Mytilus edulis: one gene and its partner. The protein of the gene in region 1 interacts with the protein of each later gene in a pairwise test. Links are inferred from orthologs where the notes say so. Each region holds a gene or a part of one and is shown in the gene's direction. Other genes may lie near its edges.

The links. The genes of interacting proteins can lie anywhere in the genome.
Region 2: the proteins of phosphorylated adapter RNA export protein-like (region 1) and cytoplasmic dynein 2 light intermediate chain 1-like interact in a two-hybrid assay, tested with the Drosophila melanogaster proteins (2 studies listed by BioGRID). The link is inferred for Mytilus edulis from reciprocal best matches to the Drosophila melanogaster genes Phax and CG3769.

What each region holds. Positions count from the first base shown.
Region 1 is NC_092347.1:45,194,675-45,201,970, forward strand, and holds the start of phosphorylated adapter RNA export protein-like, read left to right. Parts: upstream 1-4,208; 5' UTR 4,209-4,583; coding exon 4,584-4,649; intron 4,650-7,105; coding exon 7,106-7,296. Other genes in the region: uncharacterized protein, read right to left, coding at 612-914, 2,126-2,704.
Region 2 is NC_092346.1:36,842,854-36,850,259, reverse strand, and holds the start of cytoplasmic dynein 2 light intermediate chain 1-like, read left to right. Parts: upstream 1-4,300; 5' UTR 4,301-4,379; coding exon 4,380-4,390; intron 4,391-6,497; coding exon 6,498-6,550; intron 6,551-7,406. Other genes in the region: KIF-binding protein-like, read right to left, coding at 3,822-3,934.

The sequences.
Region 1 (7,296 bases):
TTGCAAGGTATCATTATCCCTAGTATTTTCTCCCATCTTAACTCCATCCCATACAAAAAAAACAAGTATGTTCTTGTATAATTACTTCAGGTGCATGGTTTTTAATATTCACAAATTGCTGAGATTCATGTCTAAAATTGCATCTTTTTTGCCTGTTTTTTCAGTCATTCTCTTATTAAACATGTCTCAGAACTTGATTGGCTTACATTTACTTCTTTAAATTCTTCAACTTGGTAAGAAACAAAGGTTTTATTGATTTTATGGTTCACCTAGCTAACAGCAATAAACAAGCATGTATGTTTCATTTCAAAATTTTTTGTACACAAGTATATTTTCTGTAATATTCCTATAAAATAGTAATAAAAAAATATCATATAATTATATTTGAAAGAGTAAGTGATCTAAATACCTATCACAATATAAGACATTCCTCAGTTACATAGCTATTTTTATAATTTACAAATAATTTAAATATCTTTTAAGTATACCATTTGCTAAATACATCTGACATAATAACAGATCTAGTAGATACAAGTCAACATGGTCAAGCTGCCAAAGAACAATTCTATAACAAAAAAAATCAAATTTCTCTATTCACATAACAAAATAACTTATGTCTCAGATTGTTGATCTTTGAACCTTATCTCCCTGTCAATTTCTTTAATTCGGTGATCTATAAAGTCTCTTGTAGCAGGAGGGAAGTCTATGTGATTACCCATTAAACAATCAAATGTAAACCAAACATCTGTTGGTCCAGCAAAGGTTTTGTTATTGGTATTTAGTTTAAGGAGGTTTTCTACACGTATACTGGATTCTCCGCTGAGAAATTTAGAGTAGTTGGTTCCTTTTTGTTTCAGCTGGTTGATGAACTCGTTGTTTAGTTTTTCTACATTGCCTCCATTCTGTCTGGCTTCCTGTAATATATGAAAGAACAAATGATTGTTTTGAAATGCTTTATAATCGTATAATTACATGTACATCAGTATCATGGATATACATGTATCAACAACCATATAATTCAGTGATGTTGTCTGGTGTTGTGTTACATCATGTACATATTCGTTTTTCTTTCATTAATTTGCGCATACACAATGTAAATTTTCTCATTTTGAGTTTTTTAACATTTGTCATTTTGGAGGCCTTTTATTGTTGAAGGCCATACATGTGTATGGTGACCTATAGTTGTTAATTTCTGAGTCATTTATCATAAGTTACATGTGGAGAATTGTCTCATAGGCAATCATATCACATCTTCTTTTTTTTAAGTACATGTTTAGGCAATCTTTCAGATGTTCAGTAACCTGGTAACATTTCTAACACATTTTAAATTAAAAACAACATAAGACATGTAAAAGCTATATGTTTTTTGCAGGCGCATGTTTACATGAACACGTATAAGACTTTTGATTGATTTTCGAACATTCAAATAGGAAATTACCAAATAAAAGATGAATTTTGGTCTTGTTTGTAGATTTTCTTATATACAGCTGAAACACATGTGAAACAGTTACTGCAGACTTTCCATAGCGATATTTTCAAACCAAAATAGGTTATTAGATGTATTGATATTCATTTGCATATGGTCTATTTCTTTCCAACACAGCTCATACATGTATATGGTATACTGTCAAATACAAAATGTACATGTACCAACCTTTTTAATATATCCTAAAACAGGTTGTACCATTAATTTAAGAAATTTTTTTCAATATTTTGTGGTTTGTTCTTTCCATAAAATTTAGCACATCATCTAAAGACAATTTAAAATATCACCATGATCACCAGCAGAATTTTCTTAATTTTTTATCATCATGATCATGTAAAGCAAATTCTCATACATGACCAACAAAATCCCCTACACACTTGATTAAACTCAAAAGAATTCATGTACAAAACATTTCAAAACATGCAAATTGTATGACCAATAAAATTGAGAACGGAAAATATGCATTAGAAAAATTGATTCACATCTAGTAATATAAGGATAATCTTGGTTCAGAATACTGCAATAAATTTTGCATGTCATGTTTTCAAACGAAATATGTTTAGACTTAATCATCCCTTATACAATGTTATACAAATGTACATGTTATAAAAAGCTTTTGATTTTAACTGCAAACAGTACCTTTATTGCAAGACAAAAATCTTTCAGCATCTTTGAAGCATTACCCCAGTAATCTTGACAAAAATGCACCCGTTTTAATATAAGACTTTTGGTTTTCACACAGACAGCCAGAAAGTCACACCAAGGTAATTTCGAGACACCCATCTGACCTTGAATTTGGGCCATATAATGTCTAGGTATGCCATGTGGAGCATTTTGTCCATACAATGAGAAGACAGGTGCTTTAAATTCACATAGACCAACTGGTTTCCTGGTATTATCTAAAACAACAGCATCAGGAGATACTCCAACTAAACCTTCTATGTAATCTCCCTTTGCTGGTATCCAAAATCCAGTTTCTCTTGTCTGGTTTCCAGTTAAAATCTGGTACATTTCACTAATGACAACTTCCATGTTAATACCATGTTGAGCTGAACTAGATGTCTCTTCTTCCTCTTCTTCTGTGAGGTAATAAACAAGAAAGTCATATGGTTTACCTCGACCAACACCCAAAGCTTCACCAAAGTTTGAAGCTGTCAGCTGGACAGATTTTCGCAATTCAAACCATTCTGATGACCTCTGTTGTACATGAATTTCCATTATAGCAGTTTCATGTAAATATGTATGCTCATATTTGTTTCATTCAATGTGACTGCTTCTAGGTGGTATAAAACTGAAAACAAAAACAATGATATTAAATACATACATGTACATGTATGTTAGAAATATATATATACATCATCTACATCCTGCAAATATTGCACTGATATTTAATCATTGTTAATAGATAAAGGAGAAGGCACATCTATGACAAGACCCCTTTTTTTGTATTATCAATCGACCAAAAACATTCTTCAGATGTTTATTATATGCACATGATGTATGACATTAGTTTATGAACATCAGTATAAACACTTTGTCATGTTTGTAATTTGTCTTAAATTTTGGCAGTAAATATTAATATTGTGTTCAGCCTTTCACTTTCTCACATTCATCTCTGACATGATGTGTTTATGGCATTTAGAGTAAAAGCAGCAAAAAATTATCAAAATAGCTTTGATTTGACCTCTTCATTGATATTTTGGCTAAAAAATGTGTTTTACAAACACATGGATGTGTGTAAAATATCTTTTTTAGGTAAAGCAGTTGCTCATACATACATTTTGTATTTTGACCAAATTGCCTATTTTCATGATTTTGGTAAAATATGTAAATTTTCATCTGTCTGACTCTACAACATGTACAATACATGCTCTATGACCATGTGATGACATCATTAGACAAATTGTCACACTCTCTCCATGTAGAAAACCCTTGTAAATTGTAACTACTCTTTCAGGGGTCTAGTAAGTAGCTAGTCCAAATAAGTTTGACTTCTTGAAAGGCTACTAGTCTATACCTTTTGCTTTAAAATGATGTCTTACGTACATACTCTACAAGAGGGTACGTAGTAATGACAAATAACAGTTAAAATTCTTGCCATACATGCCATATGATTTAAGGTAATTTTTGGTGCTTGACGATAAAATGTACACTTTCTTTAAAACAATAAAAAAAATTGACTGTAAGTGTTTTGATGCATCAAGTTAATTTTTTTCCAAACACGACTCTATTAAACGACATTAATTTGAGACCTTTTACGATACACAATAAGGACATTTTGACAAATCAATTTGTTACTGACGTTCGGTAGCTGAAAAATTATCATTTGACGCCTGACGGTAAAGAGCATTACTACCCCCTTTAACAATGTTTAATGCGTCAAAGCAAAAAGTATTTATAATAGCTTTCAAGATGACTAATTATTTGCTAAATTTTTGTACCTATCCATGTCATTTCCTATATTAAGCAGAACCTACATATAGTACTCATTGTGAATACCGTTCTGAACATGCATGAAATACTTGCAAGTGGACATTTAATATTTAATCAACAAAATTATGTATCAATCAGACATTCCCAATTTGGCATATTGTTTCAGTTTGATGAAAGAAAGGGGGAAAATAAGATTTAGAAGGAAATTAAAACAAAAGAAAACATGTACACATATTGCATTTTCAGGTAAATAATTATCTCTGACTGTCACACTCACTCACTCACAGTCTGAGACCTGTGTGTTCGATTATTGAGCAGCCTCATCAGCAAGTAAATAATTTAAAAACAAAAAATTCACAACTTGGATACCACAGTCCACACTTGTATCTTTTTAACTGTTAGCAATTTTAAAAACCAATCAAATGTACAAGAAAATAAATCAAAGACGTGTGAATGTGAATGATATCATAAATAGTGTATAAATATAATAATAGTTACTTTAAAGTCAACATAAAAATGATTAACACTAACTAATCTGTGATGTCAAAACTTTTTTCTTCTTTCGAAAGGAGGAAATAAAGAACTAAATCTGGTTCCCAGTTTGAGTATGCATTTTTAGACCTTCGAATTTACTGCAAGTACCAGATTTTAGAAGGTGTGAAGCATGGAACAGGGCGATTTTGAGGAGGGTGAAATTTTGGATTCTGATGGAGATGACCAAAATAATAAGGTTGCAATATGTACACAATTAATTGTTTTAAATGATACACACACTAAACAATAAGTTTAGCTTGCTCGTAGTGAAAAGAAACGTTGATAATACGTTGTTATTTTGGCTTTCGTGTTTTCGAGACGTTTCGGTCTCGCAACCATTTTTGTCACACGTCTTTTCGGCCACAGAACCAGTTTGGTGACAGTCGATTCGGTCACAGTTTTTCGTATTTTATTAACACACACATATAGATATATATAGGCAATAATTAATGTAACAAGTTTGGTTTGAAGGAACAAAAAGTCATTTTTTCATAAAAGTTTTGAAAGTGTGCTTCTGCTCATGATACACCTTATGGCTATTCCCTGCATATGTCCTGCTTGAACTATTGACGTCATACAATAATGACTTTTTCATTGTGGCGTCAGATATTTTGTATTTATATGACGTCAAAATTTTACGGGAACCTGTGTGATGTCCAGTAATAGCAGACAAATAGCGATAAGGTGTGTATTTCAGTCAGAGCTCAGACATAAACAAGTCATTTTTTGTTTTTGACTTACAGAAGTCAAAACATGTATTTATTATAAAAATGTGTTTTCAATTTTAGACTTATCTAAGTCAGAAAATGACAGACTTGTTTAGGTCTATTTATGTTGATGAAAAAACATAATTTGGCTAGGTGGCCAAAGTACACCACCTATGACAGCAAAAACCTGTCTGAGAGTTCACAAGGACTTGAGCTATTTATATTTAATTATCCAATTGAACATCCTAACTAAACACAGATATTTTACCTCATTAAGTGTGGCTCCAGGTGGTTGCACTGTAAGGTTAATTAACATTATCTCTGATTTTTTAGACTCTCATTCATATTTCCTTCCTTCATGTCCTTGTACATGTAGATGTTGTACGTCTCTACGTAGGAAAAGTTTTAATGCCTGGTATCCTCTAGATATATTAAAGTTAAATGCATTTTGTGTTTCAGAAAGATACAATCTCTTTTGGATCTTGATGGGCATTTTTTTCCTTCATGCATAAGGTATGAAAATTAACTAAGTTGTGGATCAACTTTGAGATGCTCCCTCAGGTAAAAACTGGTTTGTACAATGTATTGTATTGAATGTCCTTAATTGACATGGACAATAGGCATCTTCACAACTATAGGTGAGTTAAAGAGTTTATCCGAGTCAGTGAGTGGACAGTATCAAAGTAATTCAGGTGTTTGTTTATTTTTACACCTTCTGCAGAAAGGAAAAAAAAATGCCCATCAAAAACCAAGAAAGATTTTATCTTTCTTAAACACGAAATGCATTTAACTTTATATATCTAGTGGATGATAGGCCTTAAAACTTTCCAAACGGTATAGGTACATGTAAGTCTGTACACAGAGTAGTTTTTGATGTGAAAATACGGCCATATTTGTCCATTTGTTATGAGTAAATTTAACTTTGAAAACTAGTGAAGTATTTTGACAGATTTACTGGACTGCTTTGTACTATTACATGTACATGTTAGTGATAAGTCTTTGTTAAGACTTGAAACAAAATTTTCATTTCACTTTAGTTTTTGATTAATGTATTTTTCAAATGGGTCCCTTGAACATCAAATTTGGAATTTTTATCTTAATTGGGAATTTTTTATGCCTAAAATCTACCAAGACTAAATCACAATATTTTCCTGTAAAAATGGAAAATATATATTAATTAAGTTTCACCTGTACCATTTGTACACTGAAGTAAGTTGTAAAATGTTATAGAATTCTGGATGGGCTTATATTAATATTATATGATTACCAGATCACTTGAATTGACAGTTATTGGATTGAGGCCAGGGAAGTTGTTACATGAATATCATTGCACATGATGCACTATTATCTTGGCTGTAAACTATAAAGTGGAATGATCCCTTAGACATGTTAGAGATAATACACATTTAAAAAAATAAATAAATCAATAATCATGTAACTATTTATTTCACAACAAACATTACAAACATAACCATGATAACACTTGCCTATACACGCAGTTCCTAACATCCACTTTAATGTTTAAAAAACCCATGGATACAACATGGTCATGATACATGTAGAAGGCTATAAAATGCTCCAAAATTGCATGCAAAATAATTCAAACAAGAATACTTATATGGCCTGATTTATATACAACTTACATGACTTACAAGACAATAAATGAATATAAAATATTATATACAGCAGCTAAAATGATGTACTTTGACCTCTTATGGTTTACTTTTACAAATTGTAACTTGGATGAAGAGTTGTCTCATTGACACTCATACCACATCTTCTTATATCTATTAAACTAATTCAGATGCTTTGAACATATATACATGTATTGATCATGTAGGTTTCTTGCTAGCTATATATATATACATTTTAGCATGTACATGTATGTAATTTATCATTTTCCATGTATTCATTTCATTTCTCTATTTTTCATTTCAATTTGCAGGACAATGAAGAAAGTAAGAAATCATCATCTGAAGAAGAAGCTAGTGACAAGGAACCTGAGCCAGATCTTCTAGATACATATACAGTTATAACACGCCCATCCGATTCTGGAAATAACACGAATAATGCATATCGTCAGAGAAGTACATTGATGAGTAATAGTGACAATGACGATGATTCCTCCGCTTCAAG
Region 2 (7,406 bases), on another chromosome or scaffold:
AATGTTGAAGAACAATGACTACACAAGGTTTTAAAGCTAAGGTAATCTACCACAATCTAGTTGGTCTGTCAGAAACCATCTGAAGTAGAGATATTCAAGCAGTGAAGTCCCTCAAACAAAATGTTAAATTTTTGCACTTTTAATTAAGTTGAATAACAGTTGAATACAAAAAAAATTTGTAAGGGTTCCACGGAACCCAGTGTCTCGCCTACTTATGCTGTTATTTGCAGACTCAACAAAAATGATGAAAAACATCAATAAAAATTTCCCTCTCGATATTGTCTTTTGATTGAAAGAAGCTTCCAAGTTTGGTAAAAAAAACCAGGATAGTTTATGAATCTAATAAATGTTTTATAAACTTTAACTGCAGACTGTATGTAATGTTAACTGGAAGAAAAACTAAGTCCATTTATAAGTAAAATACGGAAAAAGTGATTTTTTTTTTGTTACTTCTGAATAACATCTTATGATTAGAAACAAGCTTTTGTCTAAGTTTGGTAGAAATCCAAGATAGTTTTAGAACATTATAAAAATTTTAAAAACTTAAACCACAGAGTGAATGTTTTGTTTCTGGCAGAAAACTAAGTCCATTTATAAGTAAAATACGGAAAAGTGGAAATTTATTTTTACAAAATTTTCTTCTTGATACTATCTTATGATCATAAAGAAGCTTCTGTCCAAGTTAAGTGCAAATCAAGGATAGTTTATGAAAGACTCAAAGTAATTAAAATTTTAAAAACTTTAACCACAGAGTGAATGTAATGTTTCCTCGCAGAAAAACTAAGTCCATTTATAAGTAAAATACGGAAAAGTGGAAATTTATTTTTACAAAATTTTCTTCTTGATAACGGTACTATCTTATGATCATAAACAAGCTTCTGTCCAAGTTTGGTACAAATCAAGGATAGTTTATGAAAGTTATTAAAATTTTTAAAACTTTAACCACAGAGTGAATGTAATGTTTCCTCGCAGAAAAACTAAGTCCATTTATAAGTAAAATACGGAAAAATGGAATTTTATTTTCACAAAATTTACTTCTGGATACTTTCTTATGATCATAAACAAGCTTCTGTCCAAGTTTGGTAGAAATTCAGTATAGTTTAAGAAAGTTATTAAAATTTCAAAAACTTTAACCACAGAGTGAATATTTGTGGACGCCGCCGCCGACGACGCCGAGGGAATGTAGGATCGCTTAGTCTCGCTTTTTCGAATAAAGTCGAAGGCTCGACAAAAATGTATGTAGTTTCTGTTACAGCTTTTTGATTGTGTACTTCATACATATAAATGTCAGGTTTGCTAATTAGATGACCTTGAACTTATATACTATAGAGTAATATGGGGTTATGAATTTATACCACATGGCAATACTTTGGTTGTGAATTGATTTTTACAATGGATATTAGTTCTTTATTTAAATAACTTTTGGTGTTAACTTTTAATTTAGGCTGTGGCTATTTTGCCCGCATCAGCAAAATAAAATAACAATTTCAAATTTTGCTGGCTCTGATTAAATATCTAAATTCAAGAAGTCAAATTAAAATAGCTTTTTTCTATAGAAATGGTTTATAATTTTGTTTACACATACATGACATATATACATTTCAAAGAACTGACTATTATTTCAAAAGCAAGTTAGTTGAATTCAAACATTTTTGTACATGTCTGTGGTTGACTTTTTTATATTTTTTATTAAATTGTTGATGCACTGAAATTTTTAACATGTATATTTTTTTTTATAAAATAAAGAAAAAAACCTTTTTTTAATTCTTATGCATACATGTAGCATTATATAGAGTGTGTGACTGATTTTCGAAATTATTTCAGCTGCATGTACATGGTTTGATACAATTTCATTGCAACAAATGGGATGCTCTTTATGATTTTTTTTCTTTTAACTTTGACTGATAAATGTTTTTAAACAATTATATGTACATTTTTGTATCTCAAATATTATTAGCTGTTTCTGGGAACAGTATATGTCAGTATATCTGTTTATATGTTCCTGGCTGTTTTCTTATTGAAATACTGGTGTATCAGTAATTATTTAATTCTTTTAAGTTGACAGTGCACATTTTCATAGAACTTTTCAAAAGCAAAATCAAATTTCCTCTTTACAAAGTACAGGCAAATAACACAGTTATTATTTTATTGCTGGTGCCAGTAAAATAGCCATTTCTGCAGCTTGAATTTAGATATTTTAATCAGTGCCTACAAAATAGCCTCTGCCTTTAATTCATGCAAGCACCTGTTCATTACTGAAGAGCAATATTAGTATTATTAAAGTATATAATCTTTTACATTTTGTGAATGTTTAATTTGAAAACAATACAGTTAATGTTATGAATAGGTCCTTGTATAGTCACAAGTGTTTCTCGTGGCACCAAGAACGAGGGTTGATTTGAATATACACGTAACAATGTAATGTATAGTATTAACTGAATAGTATAGTCACTGTGTACATGGTGTAGCTGTATCAGGTCCATTTGCGCCCAATACACTTTCACATCCCACATGTTCGCCCCATAAACTTTCGACCCAATTCTTATTCAAATTCCAGTTGCATTATTAGATTTTTTTTTATACATGTACAAATTTATTCTACCAAAATTAAAATTTAGGAATTATTATGTGAAATATGTGTTTTTTTTCTTTTTTTTATTATTGATTTGATGATTAATTATTCAAGGTTAATTATGTATGATTGCTGATAATTGCTATTCATACACAGCCAAAGGTATTATTATTGTGTGTTTGAAAATCTGGTTGTTGTTTTAGCCTGCTTTGAAGTAAATACTGCATGTATTTAGTTACATTGTGTAAGTAAAATGTAGTATGAATAAAACATATTTTTGAACAGCTTGATCCCTTTGTCATGTTTGTTCCCACTTTATTTATATTAGAAACAATGATTTTTTTTGTGTATAGCAATGCACTATTTAAACCAAAACATAGTTATTTATTCAACACAAAAAAAAACCAAAACATTGTCAGATTTTCACTTACATGACTTTATTTTGAAACAATGAAAAAAAAAATGTCTATAGCAATACACTAACCATGGAAACATGACTTGCGCCAAAGGCACAAAAACTTGATTACAAAATTATATAAAAAAAAGTGCAAACATTTAGGGAGCGAACAGACTTTGGTTGCAAATGTCTAGGGTGCGAAAGTGAAAGGGGGTGAACATGAAAGGGCACGAATGTAGGCGAACTGACCAAATTCTTTTGTGGAAGTCTACTATACCCTATATGAGGATAGTAATGGGGATACCTTCATGACGTATAACGGTAAAAATTCTTGCCAAATGATGTTAACGATAATTTTTAGTGCATGACAATAAAATGTACACTTTCTTTTAGACGATATAACAATCAGCGGAATTTGACAAATCACGCTATTTTTCCCCCCAAAATAATGGTAACGTAATTATTTTTGAGACATTTGACGAATCACGGTAAAAAGTTAAACAATTTGACATTAACCGTAGCCAGTAATGACCGTTTGACGCCTGACGGTAAAGGGCATTAACACTCTCCTATATACACTTACAACTGACTTTAAATTATAAATACATGTAATTGTAGGTCATTGTAGGTCTTCTAAAAAAAATTCAAAAAATGCACTGGCACTTGTTTTATGTGAAACGGAAAAGGAAGACCTCTACCATCAAATGAAACAAGTGCATGTGCATAAATCGAGGCATACATTTATGTCTGGCACATGCATCCATCTCAACCGACACTGTCACTGGCAGAGTCTTCCAGTGACACTCACTGACAGTGTCGGTTGAGATGGATGCATGAAGCTAGGCTATTTACCTGTATGGATCATCTTCTGGATCGTCGTTTAAGTCCTCATCTGACAGCTTCGTTGCACTGTCGATACGTTCAAATCCTTCACTACTCAAGAAATCTTGCCAGGCTTTAGACATGGTGAAAGTGTAGCGAAAGTGATTGTTCCAGAATAAAATATGCTAAATTTTTCAGTTACTGGTTTGGATCTTATTTATTGTTGGTTGAGCCAACGCACTGAGCGAAAATAAATCTGGAACCAGCAGTCATAGTAACAGACCGGTACCGGTTAAAGTGAGAATATTTTCCGAATAGATTATCCGCAAGGAAATAAATAGTTTTACCGACAAGAAAATATATTTTTTGAAGAAGAAAAAAAGGTTCAGAATTATCTCTGTGGTATTTTGTTCTTTTATTTACTTAATGACTTATTTCATTGTGCAATAAAAACTTTTAAATGGTACGTTGTGTTCATTATTTATTTTTTAATTTTAGGTTATCACATTTACCATAAACAATACACTGGTTTAAAATCCTAAACAGAACCAGTAACATTCCACTGAATATTTACATCTACTATCAGAAATGTCAAAAGGGTTAGAATTTCTTCTTCCATGACACCTTTTAATTTCTGTCAATTTCATGAAAGATTCTGTTACAGAGTTCAGCCTTTTGAAAACCACAAAAAATCAACCTTCATATCTCTAACACTGAGTAACAGTAAGAAATTGATCACTTAGGAGATAACTGTATTGTATATTAAGCTCCGGCGGCATCAATTTGGGATTTGATGGTCGCAAATCAAGTTTACTGGCGACGCGTTAGCTGAAAACAGAAAACAACGTTAAAACATGTATTTAAAATCTGTCATATGCCGTCTGCCCTTGCGCGTACGTCCCATAGCATCAATTGACAATTGATGCCATGTAAATAAGTGACGTTATCCAATCAAAATGAACGTTACAAACGATGTTGCATTAGAATAAACATTTAATGAATGGCTATTATTTACTTTGAATTTATTGAACCATAAAACTAATTTTTGACTCTTCACATTGAATAATCCGCAATAGATTATTGCCATTCATTATAAATAAATTTCTATCAAAAATAAGGCTCAAAGAACTTTTTATATTATATATATTAACAACGTCAGAGTGGGCGTGTCGTCTTCAAAATTGACAACATTAATAATAAAACTAAAAATTTTAACCAATCAGAAGACAGTATATACACCAAATTTATTTATTTGAAGAACTCTCAAAACAGGGGTTTCCCAAATTTTGGACACACTTTACTCAAAATGTTAAAAAGGTGAAACCATACATACAGAAGATTTTATGAAATTAAAGTATGTAATGAATTGTTTCACACAATATTATCCAATGCAAGGTTTTATCATTTTGATAAACATGATAAAGTGAAGTTATAAGTCTTAGGTGCACTGATACACCAGACTACACCGTACATGTACCGGTACTTCATTCTACTTATCGCTATTTGTCTGCCATTAATATAAGGCAGGCATATAACCTGTGAATGGGGACGAAGTCTGTATTTTTTTTTTTGAATTCAAACATGTTGATAAAAGAAACGGAAATACCATAATGTTTCCAATATTGGTTCTGTTGTTAGGGATTTAGTTGTGACGTTATTTAAGTTATGACGTCATATTCAATGTAAACAAAGAAACGCTGTTATCCAGGTAATGTTTTTTCATATCAAACAATTATTAAAAATGATTAGGTGTTGAATTCCTTCCTATATTTTTGTTGATATGTTGATAAATATATATTTTATTCAAAGTCTCATGCAAACAAGATCGGAAACGGAAGAAACTGGAAACGGAAGTAGATCTGAAAAAAAAAGTTAACGATTTTGAGTTCATTAGTAGAATGAAAAATTCAGGAAATTTTCCCGATTTTTTTTTTTTTTTAATTGATTTTTCTACCGTAATTGGGGACATTGTCCCATATTAATCATATTACTGGACATCACAACTTGGTCACCTTAAAATTTTGATGTCACAATAGAAATTGTCTGATGCCACTAGGAACATATATATATTGATATTCGATATACTGTTTCACAATACACCTTATCGCTTTTTTGTCCGCCATTACTGGATATCACACGGGTTCCTGTAAAAAGTTGACGTCATAAAACAAAATATCTGACGCCACAATGGAAAAGTGATTGTTGTATGCGTCAAAAGTTCAAGCAGCCGGGTCAGCCAGGATTAGCGATAAGGTGTATTAGGAAAAGAGATTGTTGCACAATGTCAAAATTTTAAGTGTTGCAGAATCCCAAATAACAATAAGGTCCCTAGATTAGTTGTATTTTCTGATAAGGTAACACTAAAATAATGATAGCCAGGTGAGAAATGCAGGCTTTGGAGTTACAAAGCCTCCTGTCTTGGTATACATGGTATAATACAGTAACTGTTTGCCAAGAAAGATGTATAAAAAACAAAGGATAACTTAAAAATAGATATTATATAAACTTATCTAGACTATTTTTAATCAAAGTTCCTACATACTATTATAAACTCTAAATTGTCAAAGCATGATAGACAAGTGGTGAATACATTAAACAGAGGACAAGAAATACAGAAAACCAATACAAAATTTGTAGTGCTAAAAATGCATATATATGATCTATAGTTACAGATATTTTAATGGAAAAAAAAATCTTTGCTTTCAGACTAGAAAAATCTTTATGGGATGTTGCAATACAGGAATCAAATGAAAGTAAAGGTATGATATCAGTATTTATTATACGACCGCAAAACAATTTTTGCGTCGTATAATACTATATCATGTTAGGATTGACTTTGGGAGGTTATGGCTCAAACAAATTAGAAATTAGGGGCAAAAAAAGAGGGAAAACTAGTTTTTCTGGTTAATGGACAATTAAGACAATTTAAAACCAGTGTAAGGGAGGTAATCCAATTACATTTAAAATACAATGTTGTCTATGTTTTGATTAACCTCCCTTACACTACTTGTAAAATATGTAAAAAGAAATGTCAGGTTTTGGACATGTAAAAAAATATATAAATAATTCAAACCATATAACCAATTCTAAGCTCATTGACTACAGTTATTCTGTGTCAGAAACCTATTGTGTGTCAAATATTTAATTACAATCCAAATTCAGACCTGTATCAAGCGTGAGTATTGTCTCCATTTTTGCCCCAACTGTTCAGGGCTGTACCTCTGCGGTTGTATTCAGCTGCGCTCAGCGAAGCAATTTATTCTCTATAATGTAATGTTGAGATTATGGATACAATACAGAAAAGAAAAGATATGTGAACTGGTATCCATCTATGACACAAAATTTAAATCAATGAAAAAAACACATAGCAAAGGAACAGCGCTTTTATTGTTGTTCTTCATCTGATAGTCACATTGAGACCTTCAGCATGGAGCAAAAAAAAATTCACTGCATCACTGCAAGTATTAGACAACCCTTAGCACATACAATGAAGAATATTTACACCTAAATGATTTTAATAAAATTCATTAAAATTTTGCGAGGACATACCCCATTCTCAAAATTCTGACTAGAAGGTCATTGCCACGTGGTTTAATAAAGTTATTCTATGGAGAG